Linked DNA regions of Sus scrofa. The protein of the gene in region 2 purifies or fractionates together with the protein of the main gene of each other region. This does not show direct contact. Links are inferred from orthologs where the notes say so. Each region holds a gene or a part of one and is shown on either strand. Other genes may lie near its edges.

The links.
Region 1: the proteins of CTNND1 (region 2) and CDH2 purify together in Homo sapiens (affinity purification with western blotting; 6 studies listed by BioGRID and IntAct, with this or other methods). This does not show direct contact. The link is inferred for Sus scrofa from reciprocal best matches to the Homo sapiens genes CTNND1 and CDH2.

What each region holds. Positions count from the first base shown.
Region 1 is NC_010448.4:112,429,904-112,433,721, forward strand, and holds part of CDH2 (cadherin-2), read right to left. Parts: intron 3,109-3,818; coding exon 2,875-3,108; intron 2,569-2,874; coding exon 2,335-2,568; intron 125-2,334; coding exon 1-124. UniProt on the Homo sapiens protein: Calcium-dependent cell adhesion protein; preferentially mediates homotypic cell-cell adhesion by dimerization with a CDH2 chain from another cell. Cadherins may thus contribute to the sorting of heterogeneous cell types.
Region 2 is NC_010444.4:13,167,631-13,171,448, reverse strand, and holds part of CTNND1 (catenin delta-1), read left to right. Parts: intron 1-194; coding exon 195-312; intron 313-1,247; coding exon 1,248-1,401; intron 1,402-1,806; coding exon 1,807-1,824; intron 1,825-2,273; coding exon 2,274-2,342; intron 2,343-3,414; coding exon 3,415-3,542; intron 3,543-3,647; coding exon 3,648-3,798; intron 3,799-3,818. UniProt on the Homo sapiens protein: Key regulator of cell-cell adhesion that associates with and regulates the cell adhesion properties of both C-, E- and N-cadherins, being critical for their surface stability.

The DNA.
Region 1 (3,818 bases), on a different chromosome or scaffold from region 2:
CCACCTTCTTCATCATATTTTAAAATATTATCTCTTACATCATCTTCTGGATCAATTAAAAGTTGCTTGGCCTGGCGTTCTTTATCTCGGCGCTTCATCCATACCACAAACATGAGAACAAGGACTAAGGCAGGAAAAGAGTAAAAAGGAATCCACAGTCATTTAAAACACTCGACCTATCTAATCACAGTCTTCCACTCTAATACTTTATACGTATATGGGTGGAAAACTTGTACCGCATTGTCCACTCTCTTATTTTTGGCCTCACATGACGAGAAACAAGACAAAGCAGAGGCCCAGAGCACTAGGGTTCGTGTCAAGAAATTGATACCCTGTGAACTCACTGAGTGGACATCTGTCCTCAGTTTTACCATCTACAAATGGGGACAATAACTATTTCTATCCTTTACTTTGTCTTGCTGGAGGATAGGCTCCGCTTAATATAATGGCTGGTAGATTCTAAAACAACAAACAGTAAGTAAAATCAGTACTTGTCATTGAATTGCTGTTTCATCCTGCTTGGGAGTCATCAATATATTCCCCAAATTAGAGAGAAGGGGTGCTTGTCAAGGAGGGGAAGTGCTTGCCAAGATGACTTTGACAGTGAACTACACCTGCAGCAGCAACCGGATCTTGAGCGTTTTTGACTCCCAAAGGCCTAGATCTTTCCACTGTGTCATTGTGCATTCCTTTTCATATTCAACTGCATGTTTCAGGTAAGGAGGCTATGGCATTAGTTCGAGCCCTGAAATAACATTAAGCTTTCATGCTTTACATTTTTGTCCTTCGACCATAAATTTTCCAGCAGGTGGATGTGAACATCAGGCCTGATTCATTTTCCTTCAGAACTGCTGGAGTCACTTCTTCACACCACAATCCATCAGATCTAAGTCTTTCTTGGTAAGGCTGGCACATATGCCACGTTTTAGTTGAAAGTGAAACATATCCCTAAGTGCACATCTAGGAATGCATTCTCTCTAAAATCTGGGGCTATCAGTTTACATCCTGAAGCAAAAGATTTAATGACTCCTATTTGAGCACATTTTTATTATTGGCCATAAAAGTAAATATCCTCCTTTTAAAGCCAGATACATGATCTCATTTACCATTGTTCTAGGGCTAAATCTAGCAAGTGGATTATTAGTATAGCATGCAGGTTTCAAATTATAGTCAAAGTAGTCTCCACACAGGAAGTAAAAAATGCTCAGGCTTCTATAGTAATTGCTTAGAAAAAAAAAAAAAAAAAAGGACAGGATTCTAAATTACCAGAACACTCGTAAATGGAGAAAACATAAAAGAAATGGCCAACATTTTTAAGAAAGTGATTGGTGCATAGCATGATCACACAATAAACTAAGTCCTGCTGCTATTCAACAATAAAACACAGGGTCCAGGCAATTTATTCTTTTAACCTGCGTGCTTAGAAGTGGTTCCTAGAGTACTTTCCAGTGGTTAATTTCTTGCATTCCATTGAACCAAAGACTGCAAAGTATCTAAAAAAGGAGCAATTCCTTAATCTGAACTTGTTCTAAAGACAGACAATTTACTGAGCTGTGTAATCATTCCTATTATCAAATGTGCTGTATGCAGTACCATCTCTTGCTATTTTATGCAGCCCTTTGGAAACAAATACCTTGATCCTTGCATGACTGGAGCAGGTTGCTGACTGTGCTTTATATGAAGGAAACTGAAGGAAAGCTATATACTTATTTTCCTAAATTATCAACTGTGTACCATAAATTCAGACTCAAATCATACGATAAGTGCCCAAACCTAGGACTGTCTAACATTTTTCTATGATAAGAGTCTGCTACAGTTCCTCAAGGGACTAGAATCAGGAAACAGCAGTAGGGCAGGGTAGGCTGGCTGGGTTTGCTGCAAACGTGGAAGGGCTTGAAAGGATGCTCAGGGTTTTTCTCCTTCTCCAGTAGACTTGGTTGCAAGAAAATGCCCAGAGGCTGAAGAGCATTGTTGGATTACATGGAAGGGCAACAATAAAAAGTTACTGGGCTAGGAGTTCCTGTTGTGGCTCAGCAGAAACGAATCTGACTAGCATCCATGAGTATGCAGGTTTGATCCCTGGCCTCGCTCAGTGGGTTAAGAATCAGGCATTACCGTGAGCTGTGGTGTAGGTCACAGACATGGCTCAGATCCTGCGTTGCTATGACTGTGACTGTGGCCAGTAGCTACAGCTCCAATTTGACTCCTGGCCTGGGAACCTCCATATGCCGTGGGTACGGCCCTAAAAAGCAGGGAAAAAAAAAAAAAAAGAGTTACCTGGCTTAACATCCCAGAAGCAAAGAGAATTAAACCCAAGAGACGATCAGTACTTACTGAGCAGAATGATGATGCAGAGCAGGATGGCAATGATGGCACCTGTGCCCAGCCCCGCCCCTACAATTCTATCCACATCTGTGCAGTCCCCGTTGGAGTCACACTGGCAAACCTTCACTCGAAGGATGGAAATATTTGATTTGGGAGGATTACCCGAATCCGTGATTATGATTGGAACTTCATAGATCCCGGCTTCAAGAAATTTTATCTTTAAATTAAGCTGAGCAAAATCACCTACACAAAAAAGGAAAAAATACAGTCTGATAGTTTATACACAGCCCATACATAATACAACTCCAACCCACAGACCATTTTCTAGGATGTATGCCTACCTAAGAGTATATATAAAGTAGATTTCAACTATCCTGCATTGTGGACTGTTTTTTTGGATTAAGGGGCTTTTGATATCTTATTTAAACTTTAAGTAGCTTTAAAAATATATTTAATGAGAGGACTATAAAGCCCTTAAAATTAATGTTTCACATCAGGCTTCAATGCCTCTCAACTGCACATACATTCAAATAATTAACCTGTTCTTACCATTAAGTCGAGTGATGGTCCAATTTCTCTTAATAGTCACTGGAGACAAAGGAAGATCAAAAGCAAATGGCCCAGCATTTGGATCAATGTCATAGTCAAGTGCTGTAATGTTAATTGAATTGGGGTCCGGAGTTTCACAAGTCTCCGCCTCCTGAGGTAACACTTGCGGGGCATTGTCGTTAATATCAAGTAAATAGATCTGCAGGGTTCCTGTTCCACTCATAGGAGGAATTCCTTGAAAAGGAGAAAAATCACAGACCGTTGCTAAACAGTACCCTCCCATGAGTTTCAATTATGGTGAAATCTCAAAGCTTCTAGACTTCTGGCCCCATCACTGCATAACTTTGGAAAAATCTAGTTGCCAGAGCCTCTATGCAGACTGTTTTTGGTACAAGGCCACTTCTTGCTTCTTTTCTACAACGTCTCTGCGTCACCCATGCTGAGTCCGGGGCACTGCTGTGGGCAATAACAATGCGCACACATGCAACCTGTCCCCCCCTTCCCCCCCAGTGGCCACCAAGTGTGACCAGTGCCTTCCCTGCCCTTTCAGTCCTTACATGCCCCTCCCATGCACACCAGCATCCCCTAGGCACTGGGGGTTGTAAGAGATGCAGAACACAAGGCTTACAATCTTATGGTCCCTACTCTGATAGAGAACCAAGACGTGCTCATGAAAGAACCTGGGAATACTTTTCCAGCTCAGACACAACTCTGAAATATTGAAACAGGCTACAGACAAGTTCTGCAGACCCACAGACCTCATCTTGGGAAGAAAGGCCATAGAGAATAGATATGGTATTTACTGATCAATCAATTGCATCCTTGAGAAAGTATCATGCTGCTCTATACTTTATTTCATTGTCATCCTAGGAAGCAGGTTTAAATAGACAGGAACCCAAGTGTCTGTAAATGGTCACTGTCATATCCTCTTAGAAGTGGTGGCA
Region 2 (3,818 bases):
CCCTTGTGTCTGGTCCTGAAAGCAGGAACCATTTTGCTCAACTTTCTCTCAATTCCAGTGCCTTCCTTAAACAGGTACTCATTATTTGTCACAGTGAAAAGAGGAGCTGTTAAGGAGGCGTGTAGACGTTAAGGATATTAGGAGAGGCTTTCTGGATTTTAGTCATCTTGAAGCCTCTCTTTTTTTCTTCTCAGGAATGTCAGCTCCGAGAGGAGTGAAGCTCGCCGGAAACTTCGGGAATGTGATGGTTTGGTGGACGCTCTCATTTTCATTGTTCAGGCTGAGATTGGACAGAAAGATTCAGACAGCAAGGTAGGTTAGTGGGTGAGTGAATTCCATGTACTATAACCATGAGATACTCATAATGCAGACCTATCACCTCAGGCTTTCAAGTAACACCAGATACTGGTCTCTACTCCTTAAAGTGGGTATTCACCTTAGAAGAAAAATGTGTTTTTTAGAATGTCCTGCATCTATTTTTTTTTCTTCTTCTTTTTACAGCAGCCTCTGTGGCATATGGAAGTTCTGGGCTAGGGATTGAATTGGAGTTGTAGCTTGCAGCAATGCCGGATTATTAACCCGCTCAGAGAGGCCAGGGATGGATCCTGCATCCTCACGGATGCTATTTCAGGTTCTTCACCTGCTGAGCCACATCGGGAACTCCTGCACCTGTGTATTTTATTTATCTGTTTGTTTGTTTATTTATTTTTCTTTTTAGGGCCGCACCCATGGCATATGGAGGTTCCCAAGCTAGGGGTCAAATTGGAGCTGTGGCTGCCAGCCTACACCACAGCCATAGCAACATGGGGTCTGAGCCTCGTATGACCTACACCAAAGCTCATGGCAATGCCAGATCCTTAACCCACAGAGTGAGGCTAGGGATCGAAGAACCTGTGTCCTCATGGATGCTAGTCAGATTCTTTTCTGCTGAGCTATGACCGGAACTCCTGCACCTGTATATTTTAAAGCTGTTTAGCGATACTTCCAATTTTTTTCTAATTAGGAAAAAGTCAGAGTGACCTGAGTTTTGTGTTACACACCAAATGGTAGCAGAAACCTTCTGTTAGCCTGAGGCTACAAGAATTTTGAGGAGCCTTGGGCACTTAAGAGGTATTGTTAGAGAGGAGGATTGGGCTATGCTTTTGAAGATCAATATTTTAATACCTGAATTCTGGAAACTGTACTTGCTAGGAAATCACTGTAGTCATTCTCTTCTCTTATCGCACCTTGTATCTTCTGATCCTAAGCTTGTGGAGAACTGTGTTTGCCTCCTTCGGAACTTGTCATATCAAGTTCACCGGGAAATCCCACAGGCAGAACGATACCAAGAGGCACCTCCCAATGTTGCCAACAATACTGGGCCACATGCTGCCAGTTGCTTTGGGGCCAAGAAGGGCAAAGGTGAGTCTTGGTTCCTTGTTCCTTGCTCTTTAATGTAGGACGGGGAGAAGAAGGAACCCTTTTAGCATTAGGTATAAAATACTTGCCCAGCAGTGCAGGAATCTGCCTAGTCACGGGTATCTTTTGGCTCTGCTGCTGCTTTCCCTGTGTCGTGTGTGCTTCATCATGGTGGTGACGATGGTGGTGGTGGTGGTGGTGGTGGTGGTATAAGTGATTGGGCAGTGAAAGCTGAGAACGCAACTAATCTGGGGCCTTCTCCCCCATTCCTCCTTTGTGTTTCCTATGTTTTTCTTTTCCTTTCTGTTTTCCTGCTTATTTTCCCATGATCCTGTTGACACCTCTCTCCCGCATTTTTCTTCCTTCATTTCTCTCCTCTGCTTTCCACCTTGGGTGATGCACTGGAAGATGAGTGGTTCTCCAGAGGTGAGTGGAATCTTTTAAGGCGCTTACCTACTTCTAATTGCATGTTTCAGTTTTAGCTTCCCTGGTATTTCCTTGCCTAACCCTTCCCTGTGGATGCATGTAGGAAAATTCAGTTGAGGAAGACCATTGAAACAAGTTGAGCTCTTCTGAGCTAATGGCTCATAGCATGCTATTTCTGGGCAGCAGCCCCAGTTGTCAGAACCCAGGACAGTAGCAACAATCGTGGTTATCCTTGTCTACCCATTTGCTGCCTGTTTTCTGTTCTTGTTTCTGCATAGCCCCCTGCTGGGACAAGCTGGTAACCCTGGGTTTTTTGTTTCTTTTTTGTTTTTTGCCCCTCTTGATGCATCTCTGATCCAAAGTTTTTGACTAAAGAGTAAAAAAAGATACCAGGTAGACTCTTCTCTTTCTTAAACATTTTACCCTTTCCCCCTTTTTAATTTCCAAAGGGAAAAAACCCACAGAGGATCCAGCAAATGATGCAGTGGATTTCCCTAAAAGAACTAGTCCTGCTCGAGGTAAGCTCTCTTTTTCTTTTCAGGTTCCATGGGTCTCATAAACATAGTCCACAGATAAGTATTTGGCAGCCTAACAGTAGGCTATACAGTATGTTCACTGTTCCGTCTTTGAAGGGTTTGAAATGATGAAAGTGTTTGGAAACTTTAGTATTAGAACAGTAACTTTCTTTTCTTTTTCTTTCTCTCACCTTTTTTTTTTTAAGGGCTGAACCTTTGGCATATGGAAGTTCCCAGGCTAGGTAGGGGTCCAACTGGAGCTGTACCACTGGCCTATGCCACATCCACAAAAATGTCCAGATCTGAGCCGAGTCTGTGACCTGCACCACAACTCATGGCAATGCCCCTGATCCTTAACCCGCTAAGGGAGGCCAGGGAGCCTTTGAAAATTAGAGCAGTAAATTTCAAAGGTCTTCTTGTGGCAGCTATTCAGATTACTTGAGGATAAGGTCCCAATTGTAGTCTAGACCAGAAACTTACATGCCCTTGTTGGGACTTACACTTTACCTTTTGTAAGAAGTCTCTTTGTCACAGCTTGGATCTTTATGTTCATCAATACGATGAATCCAAAATTCATAGCTCTCCATAGATACAGAACTTTAGATATTGTTAAATCTCATGGATACCAGTCAGGTTCGTTATCGCTGAGCCACAACGGGAACTTAGATATTGTTAAATCTGTAAGTGGCTCTTTTACTTAATCATAGTTAAGGTGGGCAGGATGTTTCAGTTAAGTTAGAAATAATTCATTTGAGATGAGGAATCTTTAACTCTCAGTGCTATCGATGAGTAAATGAATCCTTTGAATCCCAAGCAAAGCCAAAGTAAACTGTGGGAGAGAAGAGGCTAGGAGGAAGGAGAGAAGGAGTTGCACATATCTGTTCTGCTCTTGCCAAGGATGAATTATTCTTGAGAAGGCATGGAGTCCAAGTTTGCTGTTGGCTAGGGGAAAGTGTGTAGGGAGTCCACTGGTATAGGAGCATAAACCCGTCAATCCAGAGTACTAACGCTGGACCTGAGCCTTGGTGATAGGTTCTGATAAGCATCCTCTGCTTTCTTGCCCTTTCTTGTGTAGGCTATGAACTTTTATTTCAACCAGAGGTGGTTCGGATATATATCTCACTCCTCAAAGAGAGCAAGACTCCTGCCATCCTAGAAGCCTCAGCCGGGGCCATCCAGAACTTGTGTGCTGGGCGCTGGACGGTGAGTACATTTTCAAAATGAATTTGGAGATGGGAGGACTTAGCTAACTAGTGTGCTGCCTGCCACTTGAAATCCCTTCTTCCCCTTTCCATGCGCTGTTTGTAGTATGGTCGATACATCCGCTCAGCTCTGCGTCAAGAAAAGGCTCTTTCTGCCATTGCTGACCTCCTGACTAATGAACATGAGCGGGTTGTGAAAGCTGCATCTGGAGCACTAAGAAATCTGGCTGTAGATGCTCGCAACAAAGAGTTAATTGGTAAGGAATTGGATCTTAAC